Macaca fascicularis: one gene and its partners. The protein of the gene in region 5 interacts with the protein of the main gene of each other region in a pairwise test. Links are inferred from orthologs where the notes say so. Each region holds a gene or a part of one and is shown on either strand. Other genes may lie near its edges. The genes, in order: TEAD4, TSTD2, RNF41, RAB4A, VPS52, WTAP and TXLNA.

Region 1 (3,500 bases), on a different chromosome or scaffold from region 5:
TCCAGAATGTAACTCACTTTCCCAGTTGTCTCCTCTTATTCCCTCTTTCATACCTTTACCTACGGCTTCAACTTCACTCCAGAGCTCACTTCCTTCTGCCTTTACTACTCATGCACTCCTAGGCTGCAACAGCCTTGCCCATCTCTGCCAACAGATATGCCCATCCCTCAGGCTGGGGTCCAACTTCCATCCTGCTAGTTGAGCGCAAACGCTAAGTGTCTTGAAGGTCAGAGGCCATAGGTCTCAGTTCCAACACTTGTCCCTTCTGGAGACAGCCTGCCCCCACGTTCAGCTGTGGGTGACAGCCAGGCTGGGGGCTGCTCACTGGGAGCTGGCAAAGCCATCCGAACGTGTATGTAAACTTTGGTGTGAATACGCGTCTTTCTAGGAAAAGTAAAGCTTTCAGATTAGGAAAATGGCCTGGGAGCAAATAAATGGTAAGAATCTCTGCACAAGAGGCATCGAAAAGAACGTGTAAGGCCGGGCGTGGTGGCTCGCGCCTGTAATCCCAGCACTTTGGGAGGCCGAGGCGGGCGGATCACAAGGTCAGGAGATCGAGACCATCCTGGCTAACACGGTGAAGCCCCGTCTCTACTAAAAATACAAAAAACTAGCCGGGCGAGGTGGCAGGCGCCTGTAGTCCCAGCTACTCGGGAGGCTGAGGCACGAGAATGGCGTAAACCCGGGAGGCGGAGCTTGCAGTGAGCTGAGATCCGGCCACTGCACTCCAGCCTGGGCGACAGAGCGACACTCCGTCCCAAAAAAAAAAAAAAAAAAAAATACAAAACAAAATTAGCCGGGCGTGGTGGCAGGCGCCTGTAGTCCCAGCTACTGGGGAGGCTGAGGCAGGAGAATGCCGTGAACCCAGGAGGCGGAGCTTGCAGTGAGCCGAGATCGCGCCACTGCACTCCAACCTGGGCGACAGAGCGAGACTCCGTCTCAAAAAAAAAAAAGAAAAGAGTGTGCAGAGAGCTGAAGGGGAGTGGGGAAGAGGGATGCGGGCAGAGCCACCAAAACCTCAGTCCATGTCCTGAGAATATTCCAACCCTCAGTCACAGAGCCTGATTTCCTGTCCTTCCTCACTGCTGGCTTCATTAGCACTTATCTGTCTGACTCTCTCCTCGCACCCCTTTTCTGCACATACTGGGCCCGCAGGAAGCTAAGCTCCCAGGGCAGCTACTGTACCTCTGGGCCTCAGACAAGACGTTTCTAATGGAGGGGGTTCTACCCACAAAACACCTGCCCAGGGGTGAGGTGGGAGGGCCGCAGAGGCCAAGTCTATGGGCTGAGCTATCTGAGAAGTTGGGTGGGTGTTTCTTCTGGGGTGGCCTCGCCCATCCAACACTTCCCTCCCCTTCTCCAAGCTCTGTTCAGCCCAACATGCCTTGGACATGAGCACTGAAGGACAAGCTCCAGGCCCAGAAACCCATGCAGGACTTGTCATTCAAAGACCTGGGTGACAAGGGCGCTCCTCATAATGTCTTCACTCATCCCCGTAGGGTCCCCTTTGTCTTTTTCTGGAACTTCACCTCCTGAGGGCTCCACGTCTTGCCGGGGTTAGCTGCCATCACCACCCACGAGACAAGGCTTCATTCGACTAGGCCAGCTCTCTGGGATCACCGCCTTGTTCCTCAGCTCAGCTCTGACCACCCCATAGCCATGCTGGGCTTGCTCTCCCCTTCTCACTGGTGCCACCTCCCCAAGTTTCTACTGTGGCAAGGGCACGCTCTGGGTACTCTCGCCCCATTCTCACTACCACGGACGCCCTGGTGGTAGGAAGGAAGAGTTTATCACAGGCTTACCCAGAACTTCACGAGAAAAAAGGCATTGGAGGGTCCCCGTTCAAAGAGCTCCTTGAGTCCACCCTTTTTCTCCGGGAATTTGTCATAGATTTGGCGGATGTCCACGGCTTCGAGGTAGGGGTCGCTGTAGCTTGGGCTGGACTGGCCAATGTGCACGAACAGGTGCTTGTTGTACTGTAGAGAGAGTGGGTCTGAGGGAGGCGGAGCACAGGCCAGACGGTCAGACAGTCCCAGCTCTGCATGCCCACCACGTGACCCGGCGCAAGCCGCTTGGCCTTTCTGGACCATAGTTTCCCCGTAAGTGAAATGGAGATGGTAAAAGACTTCTTTTATTTTACATCCTGAACTTCTAAGAGTCTATTCGGTTCACAGGGTCGTCAGTTAAAAAGAAGTTTGAGCTGGGCACAGTGGCTCACACCTGTAATCCCAGCACTTTGGGAAGCTGAGGTTAGGAGTTCAAGACCAGCCTGGCCAACATGGTGAAACCCAGTCTCTACTAAAAATACAAAAATTAGCCAGGTGTGGTGGCGGGCACCTATAATCCCAGCTACTCGGGAGGCTAAGGCAGGAGAATCGCTTGAACTCAGGAGGCAGAGGTTGCAGTAAGTTGAGATCACACCACTGCACTCCAGCCTGGGCGACAGAGCAAGTCTCTGTCTCAAGAAAAGAAAAAAAAAAAAAGTTTGAAGATGTCAGAGTGAGAAGGGCCCTGGCATCCTGTCACGCTGGCCTCCTCCAGGTCCCCCTCTGATCTTTGCAGGTGACGCTGGTCACCCAGGACACTGGACACTGAAGGGGACAGGCTGGCATCCCGTAGGATGTGGAGCAGACGTACAGGAGACTCCCCAGCTTCCTGCCTGCCTCTCAGAGCCAGGGAAAGGCTGGGACAGTGTGGGGGTGGGGCTGGGACCACAGCGACCTTGGACTAAGGGTTGGTTGGGTTAGGAGGGGAGGAACACAGGACAGGGAGGGAGGAACAGGGCACTGGGCCAGGGAGGAGGGAAAGAGGGAAGGGGGTGACGTGAAGGAGGAAAGGAGTCGGGGGAAGGATGGAAGGAAAGACCATAAAGGAACAAGGAACTTGAATTAAGCCCCAGTGTGGAGTGGGACAAGAGCACTGGAAGCAGAAACAGAGGCAGAGGGGGTGGCGGGGAGCCAGCCAGGCACAGGCCAGGACCTACCGTGTCCGGGTCCTGCTGCTGCTCCAGGAAGGCTGAGAACTCCAACATCCAGAGCTTGGAGCTGGCCACGCTGCGGCCCTGCCACGGGGGTGCCGGGGGCGCAGAGGGCGATGGGGCGGGCCCTGCAGGAGACTCAAACCCTGCACAAAGTGAGAGAGGCACATGGAACCTGGTCACGGACACCCGCCCTGCCCGCACCCTCTGCAAGGACCCCCGGCCTCCTCGGACAGACCCGTGCTGCCTGGGGGGCCGCCTGTCTCCCTAAACGGACCTCCTAGCAGAGGTGGAGGAGAGAGTGCAAGGCTTGGGCATCCTGGAGCCTCTCTGGTGGGGAGGGGCTCGCCTGGTACAACTCAGGCCGCTCAGGACTCTGCATGGAACCGCCCAGCAAGACTGGATTCTGGAGGGCAACTGGGGTCCTGCAGGACCACGGCTTCCAGAACAGGCACTGTTCAGTTCCTGCTGTCCAGCAACTTCTGTTCCCGTCGGGGAAATAACCAGATGAATCAACTATCAC
Region 2 (3,500 bases), on a different chromosome or scaffold from region 5:
ACTCGCATTCCTCTTTAAAGTTGTCTTGCGTAGGGCCTGAAGCTTTCCTGCTCCCCTTGTCTTGACATGTGACACAACAGGCTGTGAATCCTTGTCCTTGACAGGCAGGGCAGGTCAAAACGAGCTGACGGCACTGGAGAGTGGAGCAGAGTTTATACTGGTCCCACTGGGCTCCACAGTATGAACACTCTGGGGAGGAAGGAAAACCATCATTATAAACACATGCGTTCACACACATGTGGACAGGCATTGCTCCCTCTGCTGACTAGAATCTCAAAGATCTGTGGAACCCGGGGAAGGTTTCCAAATAGTAAGTCTTCTGTCTTCCAGCAATAACAACCAACCACCACCCCCACCACGCAGCTTATTTTTTTGGGGGGGTGACTTCTGGGAACTGTCTGCTTCCAGTATTTACTTTTTTTTCCTTTTTCCCATCTAGAGAACAGGTGGTAACTAGATGGTAATGAAAGTTTCTCTCTCTCACCAGCTATTCCAAAGATGGCCAACCACCTCCCAACCCCCTTGTTAAGTGGCCTTCTCCCCTTTGATCATTCCCTTTTCCAGTGGGGACAACACACGTAAATACAGGCAATAACCCATCTACAGTAAGCATCTGCAGTCCACACCCCTCTCCCCGAGGCCTGCGTCTCTCCTGCTGTTGCTAGGACACTTGACCATCTGATTCCTAAAACTCACATCATCTTCTTTCTCCACCTGTTTTTCCCTGATGACCTTCTGTTACCACTTATAACATCATTCTTCCTCACTTTTCCTTACCTTGCTTATCTAAGCTACCTCTGAGCCTCTTCTCTCTCCTTCATACTCACACGCAGGTACCCATCGAGTCCAGCCAATATAACCTCTGTAAAATCAAATCTACTCTTTCTACTTGTTGAGAATTTATACTCCATCTAGCTCCAAAACAGATCAGAAGTAGTGATCAATAAGAGACAACTCAAAACCACTAAAATGAAAATAAGACCAAAAAAGTAAGGGAGAGGACAATCAAACTCAAATCTTACTCAAATGTGCATGCCACCTGTGTCCACAGAGAGCTAGGAGTTCCTACAATCATGTGTGCTATGGATTTACCTGGTAGTCTGGTGAAGCCTATAGATCCTGGCCTAGAAAAACTTTTTTGAGACAGGGTCTTGCTGTTTCGCCCAGGCTGGAGTACAGTGGCGTGATTTAAACTCACTGCAACTTCAACCACCTTGGCTCAAGCAATCCTCCTGCCTCAACCTCCTGAGTATCTGGTACACACCACCATGCTCAGCTAATTTAAAAAAGTTTTTGTAAAGACATAGTGAGCTATGTTGCCCAGGCTGGTCTCAAACTCCAGGGCTCAAGCGATCCTCCCACCTTGGCCTCCGGAAGTGCTGGGATTACAGGCATGAGCCTCTGTGCCAGACCAAGAAAAATATTTTTAAATGCATAAACATGTGAGATCACAAAGGAAACCAACTATACAGAAATACAAAATATCAAAGTATTTTTCAAAGTCTGTGATATAATAAGACGTGCCATTTATTAACATATTATATATCAACTGTTAGTGGTGGGCCTAATAACTATTTTCATATTGAAGCAGTGATGAGTATAAATACTATTTTGAGGTATCTGAGGCAACTGGAACATGATATGAAAGTACTGTAAATCCTACTGAAGACAAAGTCACAGGTACATTAATACAACTGGTTTTGTTGCCTACATTCATAACTGAAGGAAATACTTCATTTTAGTGAGGTGTTATTGAAAACAAAGATAAAATTATTTTCCCATCCAAATTCGCAGAACCCCTGAAATCTACATGTACCAGTTCCAGGTTAAGAGCCCTGAATTAGCCCAGTAGTCCAACTCTTGACAGGTAGACAGGCAGGCAGGCAGGGCAGGTGAGATGATCCCCATGTTAATAGGCTTGTCCAGCTAGGAATGGTGAAGCCAGAATCCCAACCCAGGTCTCCTGACTCCTGGGCTAGGGTTCTCTCAGCTGCACTGCTGGGAAGATGGTGGCACAATGTACTTATTTTCCCTGCTTATTCAGTGCTCAGTAATGAGCACTGGCCTGTCTTCTCTGTGTCATTTTTCTAGAATGGTGAACTGACAATGTGCTTCATTTCAGTTTGGGCTCGGAGCCCATGCTGACCTACCTGACACCACATCACTGTTGTAGGACAGAGCATAGCGTTCATCAAAAACAAACAACTTCCCTTTGTAAAAGCCATCAGGAAACTCTTCCAAGTACTTGTGGATGCCACCCTTGAGCTGGAACACCGCCTTGCACACTCCCTAGGTGTGGAAAAACAACAGGAAATCTGAAGAGCCAGCAGAGAGACCTGTTAAGATGCTCCACGGAAGAGCGGCGCATGGCGAGGAGCACTGACATGGAGGACTCATGGCCGCTGCTATCAGTTAGGGGCTCCTGGCTCCCACTGCGGTACACTAAGGAATTGCTGACCAAGGGGTCAAGGCACCAACTGGCTAGATCTTGCCTCCTAGTGGGATGGGTGATGAAAGTAGGCAGGGCCTTCACCCTCTAGATCCTGGGAAGCCCAACTATTTTTGCTGCCCCCTAAATATAGGAAGACACCTGTTGGGACATGTAATGTTACTGAATTTGCTCTTCTCAGGATCAAGCAAAAGGATTAGGAAAAGGGAGATGTTAACTAATCTCTCCCTTTTACATTTGATGAGTCTCTAAGACTGTTAAGTGTTTTTCATATCTTGAGATTAAAGATCCTCAGATTCTGTACTTATGAACTCCATGCAAGAGCCATACGAGGGGTGAAGGCATGCTTTGGCTGCTGGGGGTGGGGAGTACTGCGGGCAGCAGATAGCTCCACAGAGGCTGCTGGTGGAGCTGTCTCCTTCACCACCATGCCCACAGTGCCCCGGGGTGGTGGCTCACCTTGGCTTTGAGGTAGGCTGAACCCCGCTCACAGCGGATGCCCCCGGTGCAGTACATCAGCACTCTCTTCTCTCTGAAAAGTTCTAGGTTTTTGTCAACATAGCTAGGGAAGTAACTGAATTTCCTGATGTCTGGGGCTAAGCAGCCTTGGAATCGTCCCTGTAACATAGGAGCAACAAAAGGAAAATTATCACAAAAACATACCTGGTAGGAACAAAGGTTCTTTTTGTACCCAACAAACCCTACCTTAGCAAAGAAGCCCCTGCCAGTTGCTAGTCTCATCCCCACTCTGACCTTTCAACTTCAAGATCTGAACTTGAAACCGAGGCTGGTGGCTGTGGGTCACCTTCCTAGGGTCCTCAGGGGAACTGGAGAGGCTGCCGAAAGGCAACTTTGCAAGATCCTTGATACATGCCAAAGGCAGGCTCATGGGAGTCACTAAGTATGTTATGTGCCTAGATGTCTTTAATTCATATTTTCTTAGACTCTCTCACCAGATTCTGAGTTTTAGGACTTGGGTTTTCTCTGAAGCTGCTAGTACTGGCAGGAGATCCATGTGGCCACAGGTGGGCACACACAAGGTCCCCTTGGG
Region 3 (2,825 bases), on a different chromosome or scaffold from region 5:
ATGAAGACTATCTTTGTAAGTAAATAATTATGAAACCTCTGCAAGTACATTTCCCTCCTTACATTTACGTTCTTAGTTAGGAAACACTGGAGGGTGGAGGCTTCTCTGCCTGCAAAGGAATTCTAGATTCTAAAGCAAAGTTGCTTGTGGGACAAAGGAAAACAATATATACATATTTTCTGTAGAAATTATCCCAAAAACTCAGGACCACTCAGGGAAGACATGGAATTTAGGATGAAGGCAGACCCTGGGAAGCACACAGTTCAGATAACTAGAGAGACACCTTTGGCTGCTACAGAACAGGAGATAGGAGGGAAGAATGCAGGAGGGTACATGGGAAAGCAGCTGCGAAGTGCACACTACTCCCAGACATCCTCCTGAAAGAGAAGTTAGCGCTAAGATAAGGGTAGGTAACAAAGTAAGGAAGAAGGGGAATTAAGGTGAGAGAAAGGCAAAAGCAGAGGGGAAACCTTCCCAGGAAAGGGAGTAATGTTGAAGAATTTAGAGAGTTGAGTAAAAGGTTTATTATTAGTGCAGTCAACACCATGGAACAGCACATACAACACAACCAGCAACCCGCAGAGACACTAGTGCAAAGGGTAGGGAAGCCTTTCACTGAGCTTCCTGGCTCCATCTGAGGGTAAGGACAGGACAGTATAAGCCTTGGTAAGGCAGGTAGGGGAAAGGGGATTGGAAGAAATGTAGTAACCAGAATAAGTATAGCAGCGTTTTCAAATTCCTGAGCACAATGTCCCGGAGCTGGAACCCTACTCCCCTCAAGCTGTATCCCTCCACCCCAATCCCAGTGGAGCCATGATCCAACTACCCAGACCTGCAGCAAGCTAGCCTGGAATAAAACTCTGAGAGGAAGCTATCACATGGTGGGGAGGAGACTTTCTATCTCCAACCACACTCCCACCTCCATATTAAAATTATCACACCTACTATCCCTCCCCTTCTCTTACTTACTCTGCCAGTCACTCTAGGGATCAAGGTATGCCCCAGGTAACCTGAAATGGAACTGAAGTCCCCGGGGGGTGTGGGTGAGACACAGCACAGCCTGTACTTAGAGATAAAATTTCTGATTTGCATGGTGAAGCTTAGAACCCAGCTATACAGCTCCAAGAAAACTTGGGGAAGCGGGGGGTTGCCTTCAAAATGAATACTCTAAATCCAGAGTTTTATGATGAGGCCCTGGAAGGGCTAGGAGGAAATTTTTCCAGAGGGCACAGGCATCGATGCTGGACTGTCATATCCTTCACAGGAATAGAGGAAGCTCCTCATTTCAGTTGGGGTTACAGAGGTTTGGGGCAGATATTGTAAGTTCAGCCGAGGACTCCCTTGGCTCTTCCTATATTAAAGCCAAAGGTTGTGCTGAAAAGGAAAAAATATAAAACACACCCCCATCCCTGTCCCACCCTATCCAAAATCCCCACAATAGGAACATCAAAAGTTTCAAGTTTGATTTTTTTTCTTTTTTCCTTTCTTTAAAAAAAAAAAAAAAAAAGGTAAATAAATTAAATTGCCAACAATGTGGCTGAGATAGCCATGATCAGGCCATTCTTAAAAAAAAAGGGGGAAGGGGAGGGGAAGTAGGTGGAGTTTGTGAAATATAAACAATGGCCAAAGAAAATTATCAAAGTAACTAACTACAGTCACAGGGCTAGAGAGGGCTCTATGGAACAATTATGGCCTGTGCCACAAGAGGCAGTGCTGACCATATTTTAGCAAAAGCTAGGAGTAGCTTCTTGCTGAACACATCAACCCCAACAGACTAACCCCTACCCTAAACCCTGGCATTCCCTAATTATGAAAACTTATAGGAAAGAAGAGCTCATCTGGAAATTTTCAGTATCCCAACCTGCATACTGGTAGACCCAGTGGGTGCCTGCACCTTTAAGGTGGACTGAACAGGGATACTGCTTGGCACAGAGGTCCAGTCTTCCCCTAAGGGCCATCCGTGATGGCCAATTACTGGCCTCACTACTTATTTCTAGAGATTTGGCTCCACCCTTACCATTTCTTCAGGATGTCTGCTGCTTAGAGTCAACAGGCCTGCCTGCTCTGATTCCCTGGTTTTGGAGGAGAGGGACGACTAGAGATTCCTTACTCTGTCCTGACACTCCAGGGAAATTGAATCTCTTTGTGCTTTCTGAAAATAACTGGAACCAGGAACCCTAAGCAGGAAAATGGATGGAGGTGGGGGCTTTCCCACTCAGACTGACAATTTATAGACATTTTAGGGGAATATGGCAAAGGGAGGAAATCTGGGTTTCCCACCTGAAAGGCTGAGCAAACTACCCCAGGGCCCTTCAGTGCCAGAAGGGCAGTGAGATGTGTGGCTCAGGTATAAGCCACAGTATTAAGGATGGTGGAGAGGACTCAGGTCCCAGCTGCTGGAGTGATGGGATTTTCTGATTTCCATCTCTTCCTGATAGCTGGTCGGGTTCTCCTATATCTCTTCCACGCCATGAGCAAATATCATGACAAGGCCTGGCTCCTGCACCATGTCATCACCCATATGTTGGTTCTCACAGGCCATCACGACAACAGCCTGCTTGCCAGGGATGCGCTTGGCCACGTAGTTCTCATAGTAGCGTCGGTTCATCTGTCTAGTCTCTAGTGTGGCCAGACCCTGGGGCCAGCTACGCTCATGGGCATTTTCAATCAGCTCGTTGACAATAGAAGCAGGACAGCCACTCTCCACCAGGGAGCGCTTGATTACAGCCTGGAGCACGGCATCAGGAGTCGAGATCATCCCTCCCCAGCGGGTCACTCTTGCTGGCTGAAGGGAGTTCACCCACCTGTGTGGAGGTGGTTAAAGA
Region 4 (3,500 bases), on a different chromosome or scaffold from region 5:
AAAATCTAGCAAAGAGGGAGAGATTGACAATGTAAGGGAAATCGTGTGACCGAAAGACGCCTTCAACGAAAGACGCCTTCTTGAATGTGAGAGTGGGTATGACATGCTGGCACACTCAGTTTCCCCATGGTGATGGGGCAGGGATGCAGATGGGTGCAGGGCCATGGTGACTATGGATTCCACCGCCCCGAGAGGTGGCGAGAACTGGAAGAGATGGAGAGAGCTGTGCCAGGGAGTGGGGTAGATGAGGAGCCCACAGAGAAGCGAGTGGATTGCTGAGCCCCTTAGTGACCATCTAGGCGGTGGTGCTGGCTTCCGCCTGCAGACAGCTCACCCTGCTAGGGGTTCTCAAAGGAGACATCCATCAGAGAGCTGCATCCGCTTTGAAGGAATCTCCTACTTGTCACGGTGATGTGATTTCAGTCAGAGTAACCCCTCTCACGTATGTTCAGGTGTCTTTGAATCATTTCTCTTTTAAACCGGCGTCTGTCCCTGTGCCGTGGTTTACAGAGCAAGTGTGGGTGTTTTTTCATGGGAAGGTGGGATACGGTAAAGGGTCTCCATTGGTTGAAAGTAAAACCAGTGTAATTCTTCCAGGTCCGTGACGAGAAGTTATTACCGAGGTGCGGCCGGGGCTCTCCTCGTCTATGATATCACCAGGTAATGCCAGCTCCCCGTGGTGAAGGAGGCTGCTCAGTGCCCTGCAGCCCAAAGGCTGGTCTTGGCAAGGTGCCTTCCGTGCAGTGTGTGCTTTGTGTGTCTGGGGACGGTGGTGTGGCTGGCATCCAGGAAGCCCCTTAGCCCTTCCATCTGGGGTCTCAGAGGTCTTTGAACAAGCCCCTACCACTGCTTTCCCATGCAGAGAAATGTATTCGTAAGGTTTTAGGTAGATGAAGCAATCTGTCTTATTGCATTATGTTTCTTGACATGATGCTTGGACACTTTCCTTAAGGTTCACAAAGCTTTATGTACGGTAAGTTATTAGAAGTGAGTTGAGAGAGGGCGAGGACACAGACGCTGGGCTGAGATTGCTTGGTTCAAATCCCAGTTGCAGTCACTAGCTGAGTGACCCTCTCGGGCCAGCTGCTTCAGCTGCCTGGGCCTTAGTTTTCTTGTCTGTAAGATGGAGGTAGTAATAATCCCATGATCCTCAGGAGGTCATTGGGAGATTTAAATTAGTTAATGTGAAGCACTTAGATAGTAGCTGTTTGTGACATATGGCAATTTAACTGAAATAAAATAAAAAATTCTGTTCCTCGATTGCACTGGCCACATTTCAGGTCCTCAGTAGCTACACGTGGCTGGTGACTACCATATCAGAACAGATTATAGAACATTCCTATCCATGAGGAAATTCCATTCGACAGCGCTGATCTGAGTAGCACTATCTCAGAAGCGCGTCATCTAAATGGCATCACCTGGGAGCCCTTTCTGGGTAGGAACCTGTCCAGTGAGAGGCTGTCGGTCAGCCGCTTCCCTCCTCCAATCTGTGTCCCTGGAGACAGGCATTCTGAGAGGAAGCAGGCAGTTTCTGGCCCAGCACTTCCTGCACTTGCCCCAGCAGTGAAAGGCTCTGCCTGCTAAAGTGTGAAGTCATCAGTCAGGCTAGCAAAGTGCCATGAGAAGAACTCGGTCCTTAGACACATGAGGGCCAAAAATAGTAAGTCTGAGAGTTGGTTCTGGAGCCAGACAGAGCTGGTCAAGTCCTGGCTTTGCCACTGGCTGCTGTATGACCTAGGGCAACGTAATTAATCTCTCTGGGCCTTGGATTTCTCAGGGAAAAGGAGAATAATGGCAGTCTGTGTCATGGAATCCTTATAAAGAATCAGTGTGATAAAGTTCTGTAAAACAAAGTGCTGGCACATTGCAAGGATTCATTAAGTGGCAGCAGTTAGCTATGAAATCTTGCCTACCACAGTCTAATACCTTGCACATGCTAAGAGCTCAGTAGATGTCAAATGAATGAAGGAATATATCTTTCCTTTTGCTCCATGACTGGGCAAACAAAAAATGACAAAATATCTGACTTACTGTCTCATTTTACCAGAAACAAAACGAAACAAACTCTGTGGATATGGTATATGTTTGGTGTATTCACGTTGTCTGAGTTACCTTAAAGGTGTTGGTGCCATTACCCTGAAATGTTGAAAAGCGGTGTGAGTAGTGAGAATGACTGGAAAGAGTTGCTAGTTTTATAAAATACATGTATTATTTTCACAATCTTATATTACGCAGCCGAGAAACCTACAATGCGCTTACTAATTGGTTAACAGATGCCCGAATGCTAGCGAGTCAGAACATTGTGATCATCCTTTGTGGAAACAAGAAGGACCTGGATGCAGATCGTGAAGTTACCTTCTTAGAAGCCTCCAGATTTGCTCAAGAAAATGGCAAGTGACCTTTTACTTCTTACTATTTTTCAAATGGCATATTTGAGGATAAAAGCATTTCTTTGAATTTAAAACATATATTGGAATTTCGAGATCAAACTAGATTTAGGAAATGTGGAATTTCCAATTGTTTTTACTATAAATTAGACCTGTTTAGCATATTGTTAGTGTATTGCATTCTGCCTGCAGAAGTTACTATAATGATAAAAGCAAATGTAGTAACATTATGTAATGACTTTCCAGTCGAAGGTCTTTGAATATTAGAGATCTTGGGCTAAAGTGAAATTTATAACAATAATCTTTAAAGACTCTAACCAAATGATGTCATTATTTTTTAATGTCTTTTGAAGGAAATTTGGTGAAGTATTAGCCCAAATAGAAAGGGAAGCAGAAGAAATACTTGGCTTATTGGCTTCATTTGCTAAACTTAAGTCATTTGGTTATAGGTGACTTTGAAACTTTTTTGAATTTCCATGTAGAATACGTGAAAATGCCACATAAAATTAATGGTTGCTTTATTAATGGATAAGAGAATGATTTTTTAAAAATTCAGACATTTTAAATAACTTTAATTTTTAGAACCAAAGACTATAATATGCTAATATCAATATTTGATTGGACTCTAAGATTCCAAATTATATTGTAACTTTACTAGTTTCTTGCTAAGAAAATAAACAGAGAAATCCATACGCCATCATGACAGTTTTTAAAAAACTGTTTAGAAATCAGAAGTTTGGAATGTTAACAAAGATGAAAAGGAATTTAGATGTCATCTAAACTCATTTTTACAAGTGAGGATACAAGAGGCTAGCGAGGCTGTGGTTTGCTGAGAGAGCAAGCAGAACAGGCCTTTCTGCTGAGATGAACAGCCACTCTAGTGGGCAGAAAGAATACTGATTCCTGTACTCTCTCTTCATGGGCTGTATGACAAACTGCAGTATAGTCCCCTAAAAAGTGTAAACACTTGTAGGTCATATTTGTGGTGACACTCAGATTGTTTGAAGGAGGACATTGCAACTTTGCCTGAAATCAGTGGCAGGGCCATTTTGGCGAGCCAGCTCCTTCCTGATGGCTGGTCACTCAGCTGGGGAAGCCTGGTGGCTTGCTCAG
Region 5 (3,500 bases):
TACAGGTGTGAGCCACTGCGCCCGGCGTTTTTGACTTTAGAGACAGGTTCTTGCTTTGTCACCTAGGCTAGATTGCAATGGTACAATCACAGTTCACTGCAGCCTCAAACATCTGGGCTCAAGTGATGTTCCCACCTCAGCCTGCCAAGTAGCTGGGACCATGGGTGTGTACCACCATGCCTGGCTTATTTTTAAATTTTTTGTCAAGACAAGGTCTTGCCATGTTGCCCAGGCTGGTCTTGAACTCCTGGCCTCAAGCAATCTTCCTGCCTTGGTCTCCCAAAGTACCGGGATTACAGGTGTAAACCACTGCACCTGGCTGCAGCAGGATCTACGATCACAAGCCTATCACAGCAGAGTTCCAGGCTGAGCTTGGGTCAGGGGTTTGGAGGACCCTCAGTTTTCACGTGCTATTGCCTGATTCTGATTGTGGGGCAGCAGCAGGGGGAGTCTCAGGGACCCTACACTCTGAGGATTTCATGGGAAGTAACACTGTGACAAGTCTAAGTAACAAGGCTTAGACTTTTTTTTTTTTGAGATGGAGTCTTGCTCTGTCACCCAGGCTGGAGTGCAGTGGCACAGTCTTGGCTCACTGCAACCTCCTCCTCCTAGGTTCAAGCAATTCTCCTGCCTCGGCCTCCTGATTAGCTAGGATTACAGGCTGCGCACGCCCGACTAATTTTGTATTTTTAGTGGAGATGGGGTTTCACCATGTTGGTCAGGCTGGTCTCGAACTCACAGATCCTCCCGCCTCAGCCTCCCAAAATGCTGGGATTACAGGTGTGAGCCACTGTGCCCAGCTTTTCTTTTTTTTGTTTTAAGAGATAGGTCTCACTCTGGAGTGCATGGCTCACTGCAGCCTTGACCTCCTGGGCTCAAGCAATCCTTCCACCTCAGCATCTCAAGTAGCTACGACCACAGGCATACATCAACACACAGCTGGCTAATTTTTTATTTTTCATAGACAGGCCAGGCTGGTCTCAAACTCCTGAGCTCAGGCAATCCTACTGCCTCAGACTCCCAAAATGCTGGGATTATGGGCGTGCGCTACCATGCCCAGCCAAGGCTTAGACATTTTAGAATGAGGATCCTGATTGATTTCAGTTCTACCAGAGTCATGACCCCACTATGCTGCTGATGAAGACTGGGGACAAAGGTGTTGAATAGTACAGGAAATAGGAATCTTACCAGGGTCATGCTGAGTGTACGGCCCATGACAGCATGGAACAGGTCATGTGCAGCCGGGCCAGACACAACAAAAAATTCACAGATGAAAAGGTATTCGCGGCAGGAATTGTCTAGGAGGGCGTAGTGCTGGCTGCGGAAGAGGGCCTCAAATGGATACTGGGAGAGGAGAAGTAAAGAAGAAACACAGAAGGGATGGACCCCAACACTGACTTCCCATGGATATGGCTGCAAAATCAGTAAACCTGGGTAATAAGAGCTGGGCAGACCCTTGGCATCCATCTAGGTCCAGGCTGTCAAAGAGCAAGCTGAATGGGCACTGAAAAGGTGGGGGAACATAGGGGTACAAAAAGGGCCTACACCCACCTGCTGTTGCTACTCCTGCATCCACCTCAACACCTGCCTCTGACCGTCATTCCCCTCATCCAGTCTCTCCCCTCTGCATGCCCTTAAGTCAATGGTTCCCAGCTCTTTTCACATCACAGCAGGCTGGAGTGATTGGAGAAGGCCACTCCCAAGTCTAAGGGGATCGAGACAGGGCCTGCAGGTTGGGAAGCTCTGCCCTGAGGTCTGGCCTTCCCTCCCTCCATGCTCAGAGTCTCTTTCATGACTGAAGCTTGTTCCTCCTCATACCCTCTGCTCTCCACGCTGGGCTGTGTGAGGCACCAGGATGGGGGCCTCAAGTTCAGTGGGGGAGATGACAGAGCCACGGGTTCCTAGGGTGAAAATGGTGTTCCTGCTGCGGAGTGATGGCTTTGAGAAGAATCGTAAGATGGGTCAGAGTCAGGGAAAACAATGAGACCATAACTGGGCCCAAAGACTCACTATCTGCAGGGACCCCAGACAGCGAGACATGGCCTAGTCAGCCCTCTTTCCCAGTACTAGGGCCCCACGTGATGACATCTGTGAACGGACTTCAGGGTGTCTCCCCACCTCCTGCAATCATATGCAAAACTATGTGTCAAAATGACGCATCTTTCTTAGGAGGGAGGCTATAGCTTTCATCACATTCTAAAAGGTTTCAGTCCCATAGGAAAAGGTAAGGAACAGTGCCTTGGTGGCTGCAGCCGAAAGTCCTCCCACTCTCAAGACCTGGCATGAGGGTTCCCCAGGACTAGGATATCTTTCTTCGCTGTATCTTCCACGCCCATTAGATCATCTTTCTCAGCAACTTCCTCATACTAAGAAAACAGAAAAGAGAACTGATAACCGTCTCTTCCGACAACACAATAAAATATTCCTTGCCCAGGGATGTCCCCTCCTCCCAGTCCACGTGCCCAGGAATGCCTCTCCCTCCTGACCTTACCTGCACCTTCATGAGCCGCCCCAGGTAAGAGCGGTAGTAAGACAGGTAGATCTTGCTCAGCGTCTCCACGTATTCATCCCTGATTTCCTTTGCTGTTGCTCGTTCATTGCCCAGCAGAAACTGATAGAAGAACCTAGGAGGTCAGGAACATGTCAGTCTACCTGTCTCCCAGGAAACCAGATGCCATTAGGCTGCTCAAAAGCTCAAAGGCCATCCCATGCACTTCCTTGGGGTTGTGACCTGTACTTCAGCAGGGCCGTCTGGGGGATCTGATAGTTGGTCATTGGTTTCCTGAAGGAATAAATCTTCTGGAGGATAAACTCTCGGATCTTCATCACTGCCTAGATGTGGGGAACCAAGCACAGAGCATGAAGCTGCAACCTTTTTGCTGTATGAGAGGAATTGGGGGAAGCAACAAATGGTAAACATAGATTGAAAAGTGGTGCATATCTCTTTGGTATTTCTCAAGATTTTCAAGGAAACCCAGAGAGGCAAGAATGGGGCTGCCCAGAAAAGGCAGGGTGAAGTTCTTGGAGACAGGCTACAGTGAGCTCTGCCAAGAAAATCCATAGTGAAGATCTTGGGAGGGCTGCTTCTAGTAGCCTCCAGGGTATCCATCCCTACTTCCCACCTTGACCCGGAGCCGATCGAGCACGCCTCTGACATCCGCGCAGGCTGCTGTGCCTCTAGCTTCCTGCTCTCTGACTGCAGCTGCCTTGGCATCCAGCTCCTGTAGCTGCTCCAAGAACCTGGGCTCTGTCACTGGAGCCTCCAGAATTGCCCTGGGTAGCAGGAAGGGGTGGGATAAGTTACAAGGGAAACCCAGACATCCCTAAACCAGACCCAGACCACACTCCTTACCTCCAGCTCCTATCATCTCTACCACCTTGCACTGTACCATATAGTCAGGACACATGTACAAAGTTTTCTATTCCTGGACCTTCCCACTATACACCTGATCTTACATCATTCTTTTTTTTTTTTTTTTTTTTTTTGAGACGGAGTCTCG
Region 6 (4,168 bases), about 130 Mb from region 5:
TAGATTCATAAAGACAATGAATATTCCAGGTTTTCAGAACAATCTACTGTCACATCAGAAAAACAGAATGACCATAACATCATTTGGAGTCAATTAAAATTGAATCCTGAAGGAAAATAATAAAATATGCTCAGTTCTTATGAGTCACACATTGAATAACAGCACTTTTCAAAGTCAAAGTTAGTTCCCATTTTCCAGGATGAAAATGACTGTGAGTCATTAGGTGATTAGCTATTAGGTGATTAAAACAACTATTAATAAATTGGGGTAAGGGTCTCAAATTTGGTGCCACCCAAAAAGGTGGTAACATGATTGACTAGTTTTATAACACGAAAAGGTTTCAGTTATTTATGTAGATAATTCAGAGATAATATATCTCAGAATATCAGGACAACCATCTACTCTTGATGTCTTAACATAGAAAAACAGCTTAGTATGGAGTTCAGTCTTGACTGGTTAGGTGCCTAAGATCCCAGATCCCAGTACCTTCCTGGCTCTCAGCATCATAAAGTCAGGTAACTCAGTTCCCTCTGAACAGAGGCAAGCGCCAGCCAACACAACTTCAGTAAGAAGACACAGTACCTTGGTGAAACAAATCATAGCTGAATGTAAGAAATCAATCTTCAGAAACTGTAGGAGCAAGGTACTGATGAGGAACTGAAAGGCCATCTTTTCCTTACCCTCTATCTGCCATACGTGATTCCAAGCAAGTCTTTTAACTCCTGCAGTTTCAAGTCAGCAAAAAGATAATTTTGCCTGCCTCACAAAGTGCTGCAAATATTAATGCTTTCAGCACAATAAAAATGCTACAAATAGATTTTTCAAACAAAATATGAACATAATATGAACATAAAAGGCAACTTCAACGTGCACTTAGAAAAGATTAAATTCTACTAACTGTATCTTCAAAGGCAGAAAATATTTATAGCACTATATTCTAGTTAGATGGAATACCGTTATACACAATGAAGTATACTATTGTGGAGATACTGAGAAGTTTTTCTGTGTTAAGCTTAGTAACTACAAGAAACAAAATATTTAGAGGCAGAAAGTTGGAGACAACTAAAAAAATTAAAAACACTATCATAGTCTTGTTTTGCTGAAGGACCTACTAACATACAATTTTGACGAGCAAGAAACAAATATATAATGATCTAAACTGCTAAACAATATATTCAAAGGGATTCAATACTACATACAAGACCACAGGGGACCTTGAACGCTTTACTGTACTGTACAAATTGTGACAATGCTCATCTCCACATCATAGGGCTTTTACATATTTTCTGTTTCATCTCTACCAGCTTATTTCTGACAAACAATACACAAAAATATTTTCAGCAAACATGACTCAACGTTGAATTGGAAAAGCTACACATAAAAGAGCCATGTAAAAATAAGCTGTGCCTGGGACACCCTATTATTATTACTTTTATCCTTTAGGAGTTAGACATTCTGGTAGCTTGTACAAATTCTGCCACTGAAAAAGTACGAAAAATACTGAACTTTTAAACTATGTGTCTGCTTAAGATACCTTAAGATCTAAAAGCACTGTAAGAAACACACCTATCCAAACCTGTAAAATGTAACCTCAACCTTATCACAAGCCAACCTGCGGACTTGCCTAATCAGATGCTACTTGAATGAATTAAAATGTATCCACCTTGAAAAGATTTTTCGCTCATAATTTTAAATTACGGTTTTAAATGACCACAACATGTTTATCGTAGAAAACTTAATGGTCAAAATTTTAAAATCCAAAAAACGAGACCGTGTGATGGATCTATGACGTCCACTTATCTTCCGAAGCAATAGAATTAACTAAAACTAGATAAAATAGGCACAAATACAACTTCTAACTGTAACATACTAATCGAAGTATTTCCCTACCAAACTAAACAGTTTTTTTTTTTTTTTTTTTTTTTTTTTACATAATCAGCTATGCTAGTCCTTGATAATGTTAAGCTAGTCCTTTGGGATCAACCAACCAAGTGACTTCCTTATCAAAACAAGAACTTGGCCTTTTCCACTACGTGTACACTGACTTATGAAAAAAGGTTAAAAAAATAATGTAGTAACTGTCTCACAGGGATCCAACGTAAGACTTGGATTTCACAAAAATCTGCAAATAATTCAGTTTCTTTCCTCAGAATACATGCACTCATTTAAAAATGGAAGTCTACAAGAGAACGTAGCTGCAGTAACATCCTACTGCGTGACATGAAATGTAGGGAACGAACGTTTCTTTTTTTCCTTGCTGAACTCGGGAGAGGCCCAAGGGAGGTGGAGGGAGCAACACCGAGGTGAGGAAAAAACGAGCGCCGCCGCTCAGCCCGCGGAGGGCATCCTCCGACCTCCGTGAGTGGCCGGTCTCTCCGGCCGCCGAAGCACCCCTCTCACCCCGGGCCCTGGGGACGGAGGACGGAGATAAAATGGCCTCGACGCGGCGGAAGTGTTCCCCGCTGGCGGGAAGGTAGAGCGGATAACGAGACTGGTGCCGCGCCGGGCCCGAGTGGCCTTTCGGGCCCTGCCAGCCTCTTACCGGCCGGGGGCGGCTGCGCCCCAACCCTCAGCCCCGGAGGTCCCCCGCGGCCGCTCCCGCCAGCCGGCCCGCACCTACCTCTTCAGGCAGAAGCCGCGCCGGCGCCGCCAGTCGCATAGGCCGAGGCCGCGCTGCTTGCCCTGCCGCCCGGGCCCCCCGGGCCCCCGCGCAGCCGGACAGCTCTGGCGCCTGCCCCGCCGCACTCCTAGTCCCGCCGCAACCCCAGCGCTCCCCTTTATTTGTGGGTCTCGCTGCCACAAAATGGCGCTGAGGGAGGAAACCAGGACCCGCCGCCCGGCCCCGCCCCGCCACCGGGCTCCGCTCCGCCCCGCCCCGCCCCACAGCCGGCCCAAACTCGCCGCAGGCCAGCGCCACTGCCTCCCGCCTCCCGCCAGCCTCCCCGCTCCGCCATGTTCGCGTTCTGGCCCACTCACAGAAGAGTCGCCTTTCAGGCGTGGCCGCAGTCACTCGCCCGCCGCCGGGCCCTGCCAGGAGAGGAAAGGTGAAGGGAGGGAGGCCGCCAGCCTAGCCCGATCGGGGCCTCGAGGCGCAATGGAGCAGCTGCTCCCCGGTAATACGCCCCGTCCTTGCCCAGGAGCCTGGCGCGAGCTCCGCGGGCGCCGGAGCTCAGCTAGCGCGGTAAGGGAAGCGGCCGAAGGGAGGGGCGGGCCAGCGAGGTCGGAGGTCAGCCCCGGGGCATCACGGGAAGGGAAGGTGGACGTACTCGCCGGGGCCACCTGCGGCTGCGGGGGCGGCCTCGTGCGGAGGGATCTGGGCGAAGGCGGCCCGTGATTGGCCGCTTTGTGTTCGCGACGCTCATCCGTGATGCTTCCGCGTGCCGGAGAACCAGGTGCCACCTCAGAAGAGAAGCGGTGGGCGGCGAGCCGCGGGCCTTTGCTCTTAGCAGAAGCTCACCTGTAAGTTTTGGGAACTTAGAATCCGATGTCCTCCCTCTCTTCAGTCGTGAGGCGCAGCCTTCTGGCCGCTGGGTTCGTTCCTCCTTGACATCTCTGGAGACGCATCAAGGAGCTATTGTTCTCCGGCGTCGGAGGTTGCGCTGTGTCCGCGGCGCTGAGGGCTCCTTGCTAACTCGAACGTGGGGAAGGCGGCCCTGTGAGGTTTAGTGAACCCAACCAAAGAGGTCCTGCAAGTGGAGTAGACTCCCTGAAGCAAGACTGCCATCTGGACCGCCGAGTAAGGGCGGTGTTACCTGGAGAAGCAGTCTCTAAACACTTACTAGAGGAGCACGTAGTTCTTTTGATTGGTCTGTCCTTAGCCGGCTTTCTCGAACCTGTTCATCCCCAAAGGAGTGTCTTGTAGTAGGGTGATCTATTAGGATAAGATTAAAGTACATTCCAGATGGCCATAGTGTGTTCCCAGTGAATCAGATCAGTCTGGAGAAAATCTTTGCAACTTGTATCACAAGAGCGCTCAAAAATTGAAAACAAAAAGTCCAAAAGCCAAAGGGGAAAATGGGGAAGCACATGAACAGATGATTCTCAGAAAAAATAGTCATTTTTTATGTTCTATGTAATTCTGTGTTCCTCATGAACATAGAAAGTCGCTCCACCTCACTTACAATGGAAATACACATTGAAATTGCCTTTCCTGGTGGGAATGGAAAAA
Region 7 (4,056 bases), on a different chromosome or scaffold from region 5:
TATTTAGCCAACAGTTCTTGCAAAATTAACTGACTTATAAGCAAATAGTAATTTCAACACCTCACTGCTAATGCTGTAACAGAACTCTGCAGACCTAGGGAGCAAGTACGGATTGCAGAGCACTGGGAAGGCTCTGAAGTGACCTTTGAACTGGGCCTCAAAAAATTTTGGGTTTGGCAAAAGCCAAACCTCTTAGGCTTCAAATTCTAGGCACAAGGATTGTTGGGTTTGACTTCATTATCCAGAAACAATGAGGATACAGAATTGTGATCTCACGTGTAGAGAATTGTGGGGTTTTTTTCTACTTTAACCCCAGTGAGACTTCGTAGAGTATGGGGTAGAGAAAAGGCTCATGAATATGCCTGAAGCCTGACTCAGCACCTTCCTGAGGAACTGACTGCCAAAACGGTAATGGAGAGGGGAAAATATGACCTACTTTCACAAGTTACCTTGACTGCCTCAGGGAAACCTGCTGTGGTAGTGTTTCTTCTGGGTAAAAGACAGGGTAGCCGAATAGTTACCTGGGTGCTGGTGTCAGACTTACGTTTTGAATCCCTGTTTTAACCACTCACTATCCATGTGACCTTGGACAAGTTACCTAACCTTTCTCTTACTGTCCTTTTCCGTAAAATGGGGATAACAGATAGTAGTTATTTCTATGAGTGGTTATGAGAACCAAGCTATTAGATACTGGGAAAGCACACAGTAAGCGTTCAAGGAACTGTTATTGTTATTAAAAGCCTCCTTCGGAAGAAGGACATCGAGGCCCAGAGAGAGAAAAGAACGTCCAGCCACACAGCAAATCCGTGATGAAATTGGGACTGGAGTGTGGGTCTCCTGAGTCTCAGTTCAGGACTCTTATCCCTCTTCCCGAGTCCTCGGAGTTCCTGGATGGAGTCACATTTGTTCACGGCCAGGGAGGAAGGTTTGATGGAGGCCTGCAGGAAACAATAGCCAGGCGCAAAGCCTTCGGGAGTTGAAACATAGCTTCTGCGAGATAGAAACAAGGTTGACGTGGGCACTCGTGCAGAATGACGGGCTCCTTTTGGACTCTGAGGACTACAGCCCCTTATGCACTTCGGGACTGCGGATAGCCCCTGCGTACGGAGGAACGCGTAGACTTTTCCCTGCCCCGCCCTCCCGGCGCGCCCGCCTCCGAGGCCGCCCTCGCTTAGTCCTTCCCAGCAAGCTCCGCGCCGGCGCCGGCTATTGATTGGCTGAGGCGGGAGCAGGCGGCTCGCCGGCAGCGGTTACTCGGGGTTTCCGGTGCGAGGCCAGAGCTGGGGAAGCCGTCGGACGTCGGCGGTGAGGTACGTGCCGTGGCAGCCGTTGGGCGAGACTATTTGAGGGTGTGCGGGCCGGGATGTTCTCGGCCTGTGGGGAAATCACGCCAACTCCGCGCGTGGGCCGGCGGCCGGGACGGGGGGAGGGGGGGTGGCCTGCCTGGGGGGGGGGGGGGTGCGCATGCGCGGGCGTGCCTCGAGGCTGCAGGGCGCGCAGGGCGTGGGTGGCTGCGAGCGCGGGGGGCGCACGTGGGGCCTGAGGGGCGGGGGCGGCGCCGGCGCCGGGAGTCCCGCCACGTCAGTCTCCGGCCCTGAGCCAATCCCGGGCCCGGCCTGCCGCGAGGGGGCCGGTTGTGTAGAGAAGTGGCTCCAGGGAGAAAAGAGGCCCCTTCCCTCACCCGCTGCGGGAGCTGCGCCCCGAAAGCCTGTCCCGGCACGCCGGGCTCCCCTGACCCTCCAAGACCCGAGAGCCGTTGGCGCCCTCTGCCAGGGCCGGCCGGTCCGTTTAAGAAGCTTCGTGCGCCTGCTGTGGGGATTTTCTGATCCAGGCTGCGAAGAATTTCGAAGTCTGGAAAATAGCAACTGTGTTTGTTTCTAAAGGATCTTCTCCTGACCCAGCATCTCTCATCACAATGAAGAACCAAGACAAAAAGAACGGGGCTGCCAAACAATCCAACCCAAAAAGCAGCCCGGGACAACCGGAAGCAGGACCCGAGGGAGCCCAGGAGCGGCCCAGCCAGGCGGCTCCTGCAGCAGAAGCAGAAGGTCCCGGCAGCAGCCAGGCTCCTCGGAAGCCGGAGGGTGTGTGCCAGCTCTGCGTTGCCAGCGGGCAGGGGGTGGAGCTGTGGGGCCGGCCTCGCTTCTGGACTTAGAGGCCGAAGCCAGGTTGTCCGGGAGGAGGGAATATAGAATGAGAGGACAGTGCTGGGGCCGCGGTCACCCCCGAATTCTGGCGAGTTGGCGGAGCCGCTCCCTGTAAGCACAGGAACAGAGTTCTGGAGAGAACCTCTAACGGGATTAAGTCAGGTGGCAGCCAAACGGGGCACCCAGTCAGGAAATCCAGGTCCGGTTTGAAACACCTCAGCCACTAGCAGCTAACTGCCCTTCCTGTTTGAGGCATTTCTAGAATGATCTGAATGGTAAAAAATGGTTTTGTGAGGGGGAAGGAGATGGACTAGAAGTTGCACCATGCCATCCCTGTGTGCTGATGCTTTACATACTTTTATGATCATAACAAACATGTTCGAGTGGTAGTGAGAAATAGTTGTGTCATTTTACAAGTAAACAGAAGTGAAGCTTAACTATATTATATTACTATAATTTCTTGATTCAAAAGATGTTTCGAATTTAAATTCTGACAGGAACTAGATTTGCTGAATAATACTCCATTCTTGCTTCTCAGTTTCCATAAAAAAAGAAAAGTTAGGCAACATTTAACTCAAACTGATGAGTTTGGCTGGACCTGAAAATTCCCAACCAGTGGTATAATTTGTCTTGTTTCTCACTCTACCCCTCATCCTCTCCTGCTGTAGGGGCTCAAGCCAAAACGGCTCAGTCTGGGGCCCTTCGTGATGTCTCTGAGGAGCTGAGTCGCCAATTGGAAGACATACTGAGCACATACTGTGTGGACAGTAACCAGGGGGGGCCTGGCGAGGATGGGGCACAGGGTGAGCCAGCTGAACCCGAAGATGCAGAGAAGTCCCGGACCTATGTGGCAAGGAATGGGGAGCCTGAACCAACTCCAGTAGTCAATGGAGAGAAGGAACCCTCCAAGGGGGATCCAGGCACAGAAGAGATCCGGCAGAGTGATGAGGTCGGAGACCGAGACCACCGAAGGCCACAGGAGAAGAAAAAAGCCAAGGGTTTGGGTGAGCAGAGGGTGGCTCTTTGTGAGGCTGGTGAGGGGAGGGAGTTTGGACTTGACGTTCTCTGGACCAGTCTGTTCCGCCAGGATTCAAAGGAAAACGGTACTTCTCAGAACAGCAAGTCACTCTAGTGTAATCAAAGCCAGGGATGTGGGGGCCACGGCATAGAGAGATGCAGGGGTTCCCAGCACAAGGCCTTCTGGCTTTTGGAGCAATTGGGGGTTGGAATGGGACCTGTTCTCTCTTTGAGAAAATGGAGATGGGAGGCCAGGGTGGGCTCCTGTGCCAGCCAGTACTACCTGCTGTGTGATCTCGGGTGTGTCCCTTCTCCTCTCTGGGTCTTAGTTTATACTTCTCTTTACAGTAAGAAAATTAGACTAGGCTGGAGTTGAAAACCCAAATGTCTGCATAAGCTGGGCTGGCCATGGGGCCACATGAAGATGTAGGCTACTTTATCCAAAGACTTTACTGCTTCCTGATTAGTTGCTCTCAACTAGCCAACTGAGAGCAGGCAAAACTGCAGGCTGGGTGCAGGCTTCTTTTATTTTTATTTATTTATTTATTTATTTTTTGAGACAGTCTCGCTCTGTCACCCAGGCTGAAGTGCAGTGGCACGATCTCGGCTCACTGCAAGATCTGCTCCTAGGTTCACACCAATCTCCTGGCTCAGCCTCCCAAGTAGCTGGAACTACAGGTGCCCACCACCACGCCCGGCTAATTTTTTTTTGTATTTTTAGTAGAGACGGGGTTTCACTGTGTTAGCCAGGATGGTCTCGATCTCCTGATCTCGTAATCCGCCTGCCTCAGCCTCCCAAAGTGTTGGGATTACAGGCGTGAGCCACCGTGCCCAGCCTTCTTTTATTTTTTTAATTATTTTTGTTTGTTTGTTTGTTTTTTGAGACGGAGTC

What was found.
Region 1: the proteins of VPS52 (region 5) and TEAD4 interact in binary tests that used the Homo sapiens proteins (3 or more experiments, as listed by UniProt). The two-hybrid records come from large-scale screens. The link is inferred for Macaca fascicularis from reciprocal best matches to the Homo sapiens genes VPS52 and TEAD4.
Region 2: the proteins of VPS52 (region 5) and TSTD2 interact in binary tests that used the Homo sapiens proteins (3 or more experiments, as listed by UniProt). The two-hybrid records come from large-scale screens. The link is inferred for Macaca fascicularis from reciprocal best matches to the Homo sapiens genes VPS52 and TSTD2.
Region 3: the proteins of VPS52 (region 5) and RNF41 interact in binary tests that used the Homo sapiens proteins (3 or more experiments, as listed by UniProt). The link is inferred for Macaca fascicularis from reciprocal best matches to the Homo sapiens genes VPS52 and RNF41.
Region 4: the proteins of VPS52 (region 5) and RAB4A interact in binary tests that used the Homo sapiens proteins (3 or more experiments, as listed by UniProt). The two-hybrid records come from large-scale screens. The link is inferred for Macaca fascicularis from reciprocal best matches to the Homo sapiens genes VPS52 and RAB4A.
Region 6: the proteins of VPS52 (region 5) and WTAP interact in binary tests that used the Homo sapiens proteins (3 or more experiments, as listed by UniProt). The two-hybrid records come from large-scale screens. The link is inferred for Macaca fascicularis from reciprocal best matches to the Homo sapiens genes VPS52 and WTAP.
Region 7: the proteins of VPS52 (region 5) and TXLNA interact in binary tests that used the Homo sapiens proteins (3 or more experiments, as listed by UniProt). The two-hybrid records come from large-scale screens. The link is inferred for Macaca fascicularis from reciprocal best matches to the Homo sapiens genes VPS52 and TXLNA.

Annotation. Positions count from the first base shown.
Region 1 is NC_088385.1:3,905,657-3,909,156, reverse strand, and holds part of TEAD4 (transcriptional enhancer factor TEF-3), read right to left. Parts: intron 3,124-3,500; coding exon 2,984-3,123; intron 1,977-2,983; coding exon 1,803-1,976; intron 1-1,802. UniProt on the Homo sapiens protein: Transcription factor which plays a key role in the Hippo signaling pathway, a pathway involved in organ size control and tumor suppression by restricting proliferation and promoting apoptosis.
Region 2 is NC_088389.1:60,520,294-60,523,793, reverse strand, and holds part of TSTD2 (thiosulfate sulfurtransferase/rhodanese-like domain-containing protein 2), read right to left. Parts: intron 3,068-3,500; coding exon 2,909-3,067; intron 2,290-2,908; coding exon 2,151-2,289; intron 190-2,150; coding exon 1-189.
Region 3 is NC_088385.1:62,991,851-62,994,675, forward strand, and holds the end of RNF41 (E3 ubiquitin-protein ligase NRDP1), read right to left. Parts: intron 2,805-2,825; coding exon 2,453-2,804; 3' UTR 501-2,452; downstream 1-500. UniProt on the Homo sapiens protein: Acts as E3 ubiquitin-protein ligase and regulates the degradation of target proteins. Polyubiquitinates MYD88. Negatively regulates MYD88-dependent production of pro-inflammatory cytokines.
Region 4 is NC_088375.1:19,811,121-19,814,620, reverse strand, and holds part of RAB4A (ras-related protein Rab-4A), read left to right. Parts: intron 1-597; coding exon 598-660; intron 661-2,235; coding exon 2,236-2,390; intron 2,391-3,500. UniProt on the Homo sapiens protein: The small GTPases Rab are key regulators of intracellular membrane trafficking, from the formation of transport vesicles to their fusion with membranes.
Region 5 is NC_088378.1:138,434,954-138,438,453, reverse strand, and holds part of VPS52 (vacuolar protein sorting-associated protein 52 homolog), read right to left. Parts: intron 3,274-3,500; coding exon 3,123-3,273; intron 2,833-3,122; coding exon 2,732-2,832; intron 2,625-2,731; coding exon 2,492-2,624; intron 2,367-2,491; coding exon 2,309-2,366; intron 1,953-2,308; coding exon 1,819-1,952; intron 1,706-1,818; exon of another isoform or gene 1,552-1,705; intron 1,345-1,551; coding exon 1,189-1,344; intron 1-1,188. UniProt on the Homo sapiens protein: Acts as a component of the GARP complex that is involved in retrograde transport from early and late endosomes to the trans-Golgi network (TGN).
Region 6 is NC_088378.1:11,259,235-11,263,402, forward strand, and holds the start of WTAP (pre-mRNA-splicing regulator WTAP), read right to left. Parts: upstream 2,801-4,168; 5' UTR 2,660-2,800; coding exon 2,621-2,659; exon of another isoform or gene 2,158-2,620; intron 1-2,157. UniProt on the Homo sapiens protein: Associated component of the WMM complex, a complex that mediates N6-methyladenosine (m6A) methylation of RNAs, a modification that plays a role in the efficiency of mRNA splicing and RNA processing.
Region 7 is NC_088375.1:202,849,163-202,853,218, reverse strand, and holds the start of TXLNA (alpha-taxilin), read left to right. Parts: upstream 1-1,256; 5' UTR 1,257-1,310; intron 1,311-1,881; exon of another isoform or gene 1,882-1,883; 5' UTR 1,884-1,915; coding exon 1,916-2,084; intron 2,085-2,815; coding exon 2,816-3,151; intron 3,152-4,056. UniProt on the Homo sapiens protein: May be involved in intracellular vesicle traffic and potentially in calcium-dependent exocytosis in neuroendocrine cells.